Drosophila melanogaster: one gene and its partner. Changing the gene in region 1 together with any one later gene gives a genetic interaction. Each region holds a gene or a part of one and is shown in the gene's direction. Other genes may lie near its edges.

What was found.
Region 2: of Cyp9c1 (region 1) and Smox, changing one suppresses a phenotype caused by changing the other (phenotypic suppression), as found in Drosophila melanogaster (one study listed by BioGRID).

Annotation. Positions count from the first base shown.
Region 1 is NT_033778.4:24,629,287-24,633,520, forward strand, and holds Cyp9c1 (cytochrome P450 9c1), read left to right. Parts: upstream 1-1,776; 5' UTR 1,777-1,899; coding exon 1,900-2,078; intron 2,079-2,126; exon of another isoform or gene 2,127-2,138; coding exon 2,139-2,673; exon of another isoform or gene 2,674-2,731; coding exon 2,732-3,586; 3' UTR 3,587-3,637; downstream 3,638-4,234. UniProt on the Drosophila melanogaster protein: May be involved in the metabolism of insect hormones and in the breakdown of synthetic insecticides.
Region 2 is NC_004354.4:8,136,300-8,144,073, reverse strand, and holds Smox (smad on X), read left to right. Parts: upstream 1-1,794; 5' UTR 1,795-2,438; intron 2,439-3,156; 5' UTR 3,157-3,391; coding exon 3,392-4,852; 3' UTR 4,853-7,033; downstream 7,034-7,774. Other genes in the region: alpha-PheRS (Phenylalanyl-tRNA synthetase, alpha-subunit), read left to right, coding at 1-75; CG17982 (uncharacterized protein), read left to right, coding at 553-1,458; CG2120 (uncharacterized protein), read right to left, coding at 7,187-7,774.

The DNA of each region.
Region 1 (4,234 bases):
AAGTGAAAACAGACTCGCAAACGGCCAAGTCAACAGCAACAAAGCCAACGACGAGGTCGATTGCAAGGACGAACGATTCAAATGGCCCAAACCCATCGGTTGCCAATGAAGTGCAAAAAAAAAACGTCTTCAAGTACTTGGCCATTTGCCCCACTCCACTCCACTCCACCTCCCCCTGAACTCGCCCACCTCGACCCATTTTTGCCAATGTAAACACATTTGATATCCAGCAGAAACAAAAACGATGAAGATGGCCAGTGGCGTAGGATAGATTTATAAACAGGGATCTCATTCATGTGGGAAGCTAACATAAGTACTGCAAGTACATATATATCATCAAAAGAAGGACATTAGAAAAGATAGTACTTAAGCGCACCCCTTTTTTCGGGACCTTCTGCGCCTCTGGCCCCAAACAGCAGTTCCATTGAAAGACAGACTTAGTTCCCAACAACAAGACGGGCGAGAACTGGAGCTCAAAGGACGAGCGAGAGATTGATTTTGCTCTCATTTGATATTCCTGACTGACCGCTGAATCAAATGGGATTTTTGCCTGCCAACCGATTTGTTGGCTTTTTGTATTCATCATCCTTTGTGGTCCTTTCCATGGCTCCATCGCTCCCTCGTCCTGCAAGCAGTGCAATAATTTCCCGTTAGCGTCGCACTAAATGCAAGCAAATTTTGTCATTTGGCCGGGACGTGAGTTGGATGGCCAAGGACTTCGCACAGGACGTCTCGGATTAGAGCGAGTTAGAAGCTGGATGCTGGCACACTAAACTTTTCCAACCTGCAAACTACAAGCAATTGCACCACTCAAACTCACAAAATCATGCGGGGTTGTACTTCTCAAAAGGATTCTGCTCCACTTGGAAGAGTGTTTTAAATTTGGAATTCTGATTTGTTAGCGATCCTTCCGCGTAAAACCAATGTAAGCAGTGCAGTGGAAAACCCAACCATTATTTTAATTGTATATATAATAAATTAGACATATTTCAATCGGCCTATATCTTTGCCAGTGTAGATGCAGCGAGGGACATAGCTCGAGTTTGAGTTCGAGTTTTAGTTTGAGGTCGTCGCTGCGGGAAGATCCCAGGCACGTAGCTCCCTCGGCTCCTTAAGCAACCCCAGGCTCCCACTCCACGGGGCTGTCTTCGCTAAGTCCTTTATAATAAATAGTTGAGTCGCTTTGGGGGATTAGTGCTGAAATTAGTTTATGCCAATGAGATTAGGCATGACATGCCGAACGCCATGTTCATCCCGGCTGAGAACTGAAACTAGTCGCACATGCTCATGGACCTTAGTGAGTTTACTCCAGGAAACCAGCAAAGTAGCTTAGTCATCAGATTGGAGTTATCTGTTCGAATTAATCCGTTTTGTGTGTGGCCATCTTGCTACCATCTAATGGAATATTTCGATTAGGATCTATTTATATATCTCAGTTACGTCATTTGATTTTCCCATTTCGCAATGGGGTTGAAAGTTGCGCCGAAATTTGTAGCTTATGTGGTTTTTGAATATATTGTTAATGGAGCATGCAATAGCATTCAGATAGTTCTTATAAATATAATTATATTATGTTCTTGTGACTTCCAATGCTAATTGATAAGCAAACTTATTCTTTTAATGTTTGTTTTTTATTTCGCTTTCGCTTAATCAGGTAAACTCATACACACACTCACACGTTTTGCCGGTTTTTTCTCTCCCGCTATATATGTGCCTATAGTATCTCTCTCCGAGATAGCTTATATATATACAGAAAGAGCGCACATTGTTTATTTCAGTGGCGTACCGTCTGTTGACTGGCGAAGTAGCTCTCTGAATTTTTCGGAACCTCCACGCGCTGCGCAGCTCGATTAGAGTCCCCTACTCCCTACTCCCACGCTCCATCCCCAAAATCCCGTCATGGTTTTCGTGGAGTTGTCGATATTCGTAGCCTTCATCGGTTTGCTATTGTACAAATGGTCCGTCTACACCTTCGGGTATTTCTCGAAGAGGGGCGTGGCCCACGAAAAGCCAATTCCTCTGCTAGGAAATATTCCGTGGTCGGTGCTGATGGGTAAAGAGTCGTACATAAAACATAGGCAAGTAAATATGACGATTTTTTTTAGCTCCTTCTAATTACGTTTTACCGTTTCTATTAGCATTGACCTGCACTTGCGCCTGAAGCAGCACAAGGTCTATGGAGTCTTCAACCTGCGGGATCCCCTATACTATCTCTCCGACCCGGAACTCATTCGCCAGGTGGGCATCAAGAACTTCGATACCTTCACCAACCATCGCAAGGGGATAACTGAAGGATTCAACGATACCAGCGTGATTTCCAAGAGCTTGCTCAGTCTGCGGGATCGTCGCTGGAAGCAAATGCGCAGCACCCTGACGCCTACTTTCACCAGCCTCAAAATCCGACAGATGTTCGAGCTCATCCATTTCTGCAATGTAGAGGCGGTGGACTTCGTGCAGCGCCAACTGGATGCCGGCACTTCCGAACTGGAGCTAAAGGACTTCTTCACGCGCTACACCAACGACGTGATCGCGACGGCTGCCTTTGGCATCCAAGTGAATTCCTTCAAGGATCCCAACAACGAGTTCTTTTCCATCGGGCAGCGCATTTCAGAGTTTACTTTCTGGGGCGGACTCAAAGTAATGCTATACATTCTGATGCCAAAATTGATGAAGGTAAAGACATCACCACTCCATTCTTTTTTCAAATTGTAAAACCTTTCCGCCCTTTTAGGCACTTCGGGTCCCCGTGATGGACATGAATAACGTGGACTACTTCAAAAAGCTGGTCTTCGGTGCCATGAAGTATCGAAAGGAGCAGAGTATCGTGCGGCCCGATATGATTCATTTGCTGATGGAGGCGCAGAGACAGTTTAAGGCAGAGCAAGAAGGATCTGCGGAGAGTGCAGCACAGCAGGATAAGGCCGAATTCAACGATGACGACTTGCTGGCCCAGTGCCTCTTGTTCTTCTCGGCAGGATTCGAAACAGTGGCCACCTGCCTTAGCTTCACCAGCTACGAACTTATGATGAACCCCGAAGTGCAAGAAAAATTGCTCGCGGAGATCCTGGCCGTAAAGGAGCAGCTGGGTGAGAAGCCACTAGACTACGACACCCTGATGGGCATGAAATATCTGAACTGCGTGGTGTCCGAGTCGCTGAGAAAGTGGCCACCGGCGTTCATCGTGGATCGAATGTGTGGGTCTGATTTCCAGTTGAAGGATGAGGAAGGCGAGGTGGTGGTTAACCTGCGGGAGGACGACTTAGTGCACATCAACGTGGGGGCACTTCATCACGACCCGGATAACTTCCCGGAACCCGAGCAATTCCGACCGGAGCGCTTTGACGAGGAGCACAAGCACGAGATCCGGCAGTTCACGTACCTGCCCTTTGGAGTGGGCCAACGAAGCTGCATAGGCAACCGGCTGGCTCTCATGGAGGTGAAGTCCCTGATCTTCCAGTTGGTCCTGCGCTACCACCTGAAGCCTACGGATCGCACTCCGGCGGACATGATGAGCAGCATCTCCGGTTTCCGACTGCTGCCCCGGGAGCTGTTCTGGTGCAAGTTGGAGTCCCGTGGACCCGCTTAATTAAAAACACGCCCCCAGACACACATAAATATTAATAAAGCGAGAGAAACGAAACAAAAACGGGCCATTTATTTCATCTGGACACCCTTGTGCTGACAAATTTGTCGCGGCCATGTTTCATTCTCCATTCGCTTTGTTTTCCCTTGGTTCTCCGGCTTTAAAGTCCATGTCACGGGCAGAGATTCCGGGTTAGGAGCGGGCGACGAGCAACGTCATAATACTGTCAGGACATGATGGCCTCGTCCAACCACCTAGGTTGTATGTGTTGCGGTTACACCGCATAAAATAACAGGGGGTGTGGGTGGTGGGCGGTGTCACCAGCTACACATACGCCCTCCCGCTCTCCCGTCCACTTGCACACCAGCACAGCCACCCACTCACACACACGGAACATTAAGGATTATTTATTGGGAGGTATTTTTCAAGCGGCATTAACATTTTTCGGTACAATATGAATTATATTACACTCGTGTCATAAACTCACTGTCGCAGGGCGTGAAAAACGTTGGCTGGTAAGGGAAAATCTCTCCTCCTTCTTCCGATTTTCACACCCCGCAATAGTCTGTCTAAAATATGCCGTGCAGCAAAGTCAGATAATTAACATCATCATGTGTTGCAAGGATATATTCGAAATTTGCGGTGACTTCA
Region 2 (7,774 bases), on another chromosome or scaffold:
CGCGATTTGGTCGGACCCAAAGTGGATCTAAAGATGGTGGAGGAGGGCCCCATCTGCCGGCTGGATCATGCTTAATACCTTAAAAAATCAATAGGACCTGCGATCAAATTGCATTTTTTTTCACACATGAATGTTCCAAAACATATTTATAAATAAAAGTTCCGCCACAGAAACTGGGTCTATATTGATAAGGGAAATATAACATTTGGCGAACCATTTTTGTATTTTCCCTCCAAACAGCTGTTGTTCAGGGTTGTCAAGTGCAGCCGATTTATGCTATCTGCATTTTAGGTTATTGTTTGAGGGAAGCATATCGGGTTTATAAAATTCGGAAAATTTTTAAAGAAACTGCTTAGAGTGAGAATCCTAAAATATGTGAGAATAATAAAAACATGTTTGACAATCAGTCAATCAGTTGAAACTATTTGACAACTTTGCCACAAAACAACGTCAAACGAGCGAAGAAAACAACAAAGGAGAGACGCAAAAAAGAAGAAAGAAAAAAAAAAATAAACAAATTCGTCATCGTCGCTGGAGTTTGGGCCTTGAAAAATGGCAAGCAATCCGAAGAAGTCCCTCCACCAGGCGATCCAGGCCGAGTTTGGTCTCCAGCCCACCAGCGATTTGTCCAAATTGAGCAGTATAAGTGGCACGAGCCCAGAAGCGATGCCAAAATTCACAATTCCGCAGCTCAAAATTCCACAGCTTAGAATTCCACAATTGCAGCTGCAGACGAATGCGGATGCCGCTGCCGAGCAGGAATACCGCCGAGAGGCGGAGGCACACAATCAAATGCTACTCAATGAGATCCAGTTGAGGCAACGGCAGCGATCGGAGGGCGAAAACAAGCCGCAATCAATGGGATTTGTGTTACCCCAACTGGTCGCGATGCCCAAGGAGCCCCTGAACATACCCCTGCTGACAAGGTTGGAGAGCGGCATGAAGAAGCTGGATATAGGCGATGGGACAAAGGTGAATACAGCCACGTCAGCACCCCCACTCATTGACCTCACGTCCACGATTATCGCCAGGCATAAAGGCGCACCGCCCAAGGAGCTGGCCAGCAAGGCGCGCCAGTTGACCAATTGTGAGCCTTTTGCCATACCCTTCATTGCCTGCGATCGCGGAAGAAGGAGCACGACCGGTGTAACTCTCTTGGCCAGCAAAAGATCCATCAACTACGACGAGGACGTGCTGGCCGATCGGTCACCAGCGAATAGCGACTACCGGGAGCAACCGGGACCCATTGGGCTCATGCTGGACGAAATGGTGGGCTATCCGGAGCCGAGAAAGCCCCGTCTAGTGTACGCCGTCACTCCGCTGGAACGGCAGCACCTGCGAATGTGCCAGTATAAGGATTACGGCATCCAGGTGAAGAGATTCCGCTTTGATACTCCCTCGCCGGATGAGCTCGTCAAGCAGGCGCTGCAGAAGTCCTGGCGCTTCTCCCGCACTTGACTCCAGTTCATCCTGGTAGTTGACAATTACCAATAAGTGAATAAAAACAAAAAATCCACTACGTTCAAAAATAAAAGCTGTCTGACTTGATTCTTGCAGGGAGTTGATATCACCCATCGATTTAGTAACTAATTAGTTGGCCATCCAATCCCATTCTTTTGTGGCGCAAATATATTTGCGAACAAGTATATTTATGATTTTAGTATTAAAATATGTAACAATATTTATGTTGTTTATATGAATTTATCAAAACGATCATTAGAATGTTTTCACGCCTTATTTTATTTTGAGCCGTGGCGTCGAAGCTTATTCGCGTTTCAGCCAACGGTCACACTACACAGTCGGTCACACTATTGTTGGGCAGCAAGTCTGGGCACACTGCAACTTTGCGAATAGCAAAATCGCGAAACGCAAAAAATTATATTACTCCCATAAAGCACAATTCGAACGTAAAGTGAACTACTAACGTATAGAAAATAAACACAAAGAGCATAACATAAGAACAAACAACAAGGAGGCGTTTAAATATTTATCAAAATAAGTTCTCTGTTCTTGTTGTGCCTCTGTGTGTTTGTGTCTGTGCGCTCGTTTAACTGTGTGTGTGCTCCTTGCGTGTCGGTGTGCGGTGCCTGTGCTTTGGTGTGCGTGTGCGTATAGCTGTCACTTTCTGGCGCGCACACAAGATATATACACACAGAAATTTGAAGAAGCGGTGCCCACCACACGGCCCCCTCCCCGTTCCAGACAACCATCAACGCCACCAGCACCACCACCACCACCCCCTCCTGTTGGCGCGGCTCGGCTCGGCTCGGCTGGATGTGTGCGCCCGGTTCCGGTGCCTTTTGGTTACCGTTCCCGTGCATCTGGACCTGGAAGCAGTGTGTGCGTGCGAGTGAGCGGGCACGATAGAAGTTGAAAGAGCAGGCGAAAGGAGCAAGAGCAGGACGACAGAGGAGCTCGAGTTGCCGGTACCGTTACAGGTAATATTTATATGTGCGAGACACTCGGCGCAAGTGTGTGTGTGTTAGGTGGGGGTTGAAGATACGGATACAGATACATGGATACATTCCAAAGCGGCTGTATGTGCACTTTTCGCTGTTTCCCCAATGCACATTTAATTACTTATTTATTTTTGCGTTTAACTCGATCGTACCCCTCTTGCCGGCGACGCTCATGTTTTTTGTTGTTGTTATTTTCGGTAATTTATTGCCCCGCCTTCGATAAGATGGAAAATTCCAAACTGCCCACAGATTAGGCGTGTGTACATACATACAGAAATATACACACATTCTGGTTCTGTTTCTGTTTTCTGTGGCTGCTGTAACTCAACGAAAGCAAAAAAAAAGCGTCTGCAAACGCAGACATTTGACCTTGTTGGAGACAATAACAACAAGAATAGCAATAACAACGGTAGTGAAAATAGCAAGAACAGCAACAACCCACGCAGACGATTGCATTTGCGATTGTCGTTTTGGAAATGGAAAATCTAAATTGAATCTTTCTTTAGAAATCTGAATGTGAATCTAAGGCAAAAGTTAATAGATTACCCATATACACACGCTCGGGCAATTATCACAATAACATCGTCATCAGGGTCGAGCTTTTATCAGATCCAGCCGCTCACGCACACACATGCAAGCCAATTATCAGGTTTTAATTGCCAAAGCACGCACAACTAAACCCATTCCACTATTCCAGATCAGAAGTGCACAAGGGAAGCAGCAGCAGCATTAGGACTGTTCCAGTTCCACTTCCCAGTCCCGTTCCAGTATTCCAGAGAAGGTGATCGAAATAAAACTAAAACTAAAACTCGACCAACGCCAGCAGTGAGAGCAGTATTCAAAAGGCAACGCAGAGTTGGAGGAGGAGGAGCTAGTGGACGCGGAGGACACCAGGAAAGCCCAGGAGAACTCCCCCCCCCTGAGACCCTGAGATGTTGCCATTCACCCCGCAGGTGGTCAAGCGTTTGTTAGCACTCAAAAAGGGCAACGAGGACAACAGCGTCGAGGGCAAGTGGTCAGAGAAGGCCGTCAAGAATCTGGTCAAGAAGATCAAGAAGAATTCGCAGCTGGAGGAGCTAGAGCGCGCGATCTCCACACAGAACTGCCAGACGCGGTGCGTGACGGTGCCGCGCAGCAAGCCAGCTCCCGCCGGCGAGCATCTGCGCAAGGGTCTGCCGCACGTCATCTATTGCCGCCTGTGGCGCTGGCCCGATCTCCAGAGTCAGAATGAACTAAAGCCCCTCGATCATTGCGAGTACGCCTTCCATTTGCGCAAGGAGGAGATCTGCATAAATCCGTACCACTACAAAAAAATTGAACTGTCCATCCTGGTGCCCAAATCGCTGCCCACGCCGCCCGACTCCATTGTGGACTATCCGCTGGACAACCATACGCACCAGATACCCAACAACACCGATTACAATGCGGCGATCATTCGCAGCGCCTCGTTGAGTCCGCCGCAGTACATGGAATTGGGCGGTGCCGGGCCCGTTTCCGTATCATCGTCTGCCAGTTCGACGCCAGCGACTGCCGCCGGTGGTGGTGGTGGTCCCTCCTCGTCGTCGTCGTCGTCATCGTCCGCCGCCTCCGCCTATCAACAGCAACAGCAGCAGCTGTCCTTTGGCCAAAACATGGACTCTCAATCGAGTGTGCTTAGTGTGGGCAGCAGCATTCCCAACACCGGCACCCCGCCGCCCGGCTATATGAGCGAGGATGGTGACCCCATCGATCCTAACGACAACATGAACATGTCGCGTCTAACGCCGCCCGCCGATGCAGCGCCGGTGATGTACCACGAGCCGGCCTTTTGGTGTTCCATCTCCTACTATGAGCTAAATACGCGTGTCGGCGAGACGTTCCATGCCTCGCAGCCCTCGATCACGGTGGATGGCTTTACCGATCCCTCCAATTCGGAGCGCTTTTGCCTCGGACTGCTGTCTAATGTGAATCGCAACGAGGTCGTGGAGCAGACACGTCGCCACATCGGCAAGGGCGTACGGCTTTACTATATTGGCGGTGAGGTATTCGCAGAATGTCTGAGCGATTCGTCCATTTTCGTACAGAGCCCAAATTGTAATCAGCGATATGGCTGGCATCCGGCCACCGTATGCAAGATACCGCCCGGTTGCAACCTAAAGATCTTCAACAACCAGGAGTTTGCCGCCCTGCTGTCGCAGTCCGTGTCGCAGGGATTCGAAGCGGTCTACCAATTGACACGCATGTGCACCATCCGCATGTCGTTCGTCAAGGGCTGGGGCGCCGAATATCGCCGCCAGACGGTGACCTCAACGCCCTGCTGGATCGAACTCCATCTGAACGGGCCGCTCCAGTGGCTGGATCGCGTGCTCACACAGATGGGTTCGCCACGGCTGCCGTGCAGCTCCATGTCATAAGCGCACGGCCGGTTCCGGTTTTCAATCTTCCCCCTCCCCCAATTTTCCGCACAGAAAGCGCCGGAGTTTAAGGCCCATTTTTGGGTTTGAAAGAAGATCCACAGAAATCCCAGTAAACGGCTCTGACAAGTAACACTGACGATGAATGGATACTATCCTCAAGAATTTGCGGTAGTCAATATCGTTTATTATCGATTTTTATTCACATTCGAGAGAAATTTCAATGGTTATTAAGATGAAATTGGTATGCAATCAATGTGCTTTTGTTCGGCTTTGTAGTGATGTAGTTTAAATACCCTCTGTCAGGGTATAAAATTTAATTATGTCACTAGCTCTAGAAAAAGTACATTTCACTTGCCGAAAGCTGTACAAATTGATGTTGAAAAAAACTACTTGAATCCTTGATGTAACAAGAACTTCCGCATCATCCAAAAATACTATATACAGCTCTATTCATGTTGAATATGACCCGAGATTCATCAGTGTTACTAGTCAGCAGCTCCGCGGGATATCAAAATGAGAATCGGAATTGGTTTCAAAGAGAAAACCAAGAAAAATTCTGAGAGCACATATGAAATAAGTTCAGGCAAATTATATACGAGTACATAAATGAGTAATTGAAAAACAAATGGTAGATGCAAACCAGATGCAGATATATCTATATACAAAGAGCACACACTTACATGTGGGATATATATCTTTACAAGCATATATGAGAGAGAACATGTATTTGGCGTTACAAGTTTAGGACTATATATTGTGTAGGTGGAAACGTGGAGAGAGTTACAGTTTTCGATAAGAAGCAACAATTTTTTTAAACATTTTACATACAAAAAAAAAAAAAAAAAAAGAAAACCAAAAGCACATGAGGAAATAACCGAAATGGAACCGACCAGGAACACAAAAAAACCAAAAGATACCCCGAATCTGTGTGCGTAAAGTTGGTAGCGCTAGAAGCGAGAGAGTCAAAATTCTTTGAGAAAGAAGCAAAACAATTAAATTGGTGATTTGGAACAAAAATGAATGAGCAAAACAGGAACTGGGATTTATCAAGCTTGAAGCTTACACACACAGACACACTACCATACATTGCAAATGTACATAAGACCAAAATAATGAAATTATTCACGCAGGACCTCCACTTGATCGAGTATGGGATTATAGATATATCCGTTTGAAGATGGTTGTTAAACGTTTCGATTTTCGCTTAGTACGTGTGTGTTAAAAAATTCGTAAACTCTTAAAGCGCAGTCAGCTCTTGTTAGTCGTAATATCCGTAAAATGCGATCATATATCCTATGTGTAAAGCACTTGCCCAACAAAATTTGAATGCCGCAAGCCAGGTCTGGCCCATCTAAGGTGCCATTTTGTTCAGAACTGCATTTATTGTGTACCAAATGAGAGATTCTTGATTCTTTTACAGCATCGTATTTGAAACGATAGCTTAACCAACCAATATGCAATATGGTTTGCCGTTGCTGGCCGGATTTTGCTTGGCAAGTGCACGTTTTTCTTGGGTCTAGATCTTAAGTCTATATATGTAACAAAATTCGCTAGCTTATCTTAACGTTTAAAGAGCCCAAATCCAGTTTAAGTTCAAGTTCAAATTGTTTTTACGTCAATATTTGCTGATTCTTTTAATTCTTTTGTTTTTTTTTGCCCATTGCTTCGCTGTTACGACCAAAAATAACTGTACCGCCTGGCCAGTGTTGGGCAGTGAATGGTGCGTGGCGGGCAGTGTTGCCTAGCGCACTTGTCCTCTGGTTCCGGCGAAACTTTAATTTAAGTTTTGTCTATTGTTTGCCCCCTTTGTTGCTTTTAAGTTTCTCACGTGTGCAGTTTAGTGCTAAGACACTTAGTCCTGATTGTCAATCAATCGAATAAACGACCGCGAACGAGATTGTGTTTTGTTAATTGGCTCTAATCACTGTTTTTAATCAAACAATTGTTTTCGTATTTCCGGCTAAGCCCGCAAATAATGTAATGTAATCCTTAAGTTATGCCTAAACGAAACAAAGCAATGCAGGCGAACATGCAACAGCAACAGTCAACAGTCCTCCGAGGACACAACCACAGAGAACCAGCAACCCCGTACCCGTAACTTTATAAAGTATAAATACAAATATATACATATATCTAATATGCAAGCATGCAGATAAAGACAAACAGAATCGTATATATAAATAAACACTTATATTGAATGGAAAGCGCAGACCAAGCCCCCTTCCGGGGGGCAGCTTAGGGTGGGGCGAGTCTCGGATTCGCCTGGAATTCGATTCGAATGGACAGGGAAATCGTACCGTATACTAACATAATCAAAGTGCTCTCGAGCTGTCAACGCTCGTGCACCTTGAGGTGTTGCTTATGATTGGATTTGCGCAGAAATCGTGCTGGACAGAGTGGACAGGCAAATGGTCGCTGCTGGGTGTGGGCAATCTGGTGGTGCTTCAGCTCCGAGGCACTAAAGAATCTCTTGCCGCACTCCGGCTGTGGGCATGGGAAGTCGCGCTGATTGTAGTGCCGCTTCAGGTGGATGCTAAGATAGCACTGATCCGTTAGGACCCGGCTGCAAACCGGGCAGGTGAAGCTGAGCGCAGATGTATCCCGTTGCTCTTGCTCCGCCAGCGGATGTTCGGGATCCGGATCCGTTTGTGCCGCATGCCTTAGCTTTGTGTGAATGCGCCGCGCGTGGATGGAATGAAAGGAGAGATGACAGTCGGTGGCCAAACATGGATATGGTTTCTCTCCCGTATGCAAGCGTCGATGGACAGTTAGGTAGTTGGCATACCGGAAACCCTTGCCGCAGATATCACATTTGTGTGGCCGCTCCGCCGTGTGGGTCACTGCATGGATGCGTAGCTTGTTCAGTTGCCGGAATCCCTTGCCGCACTCCACGCACACATGCGGCTTCTCGTCCGTGTG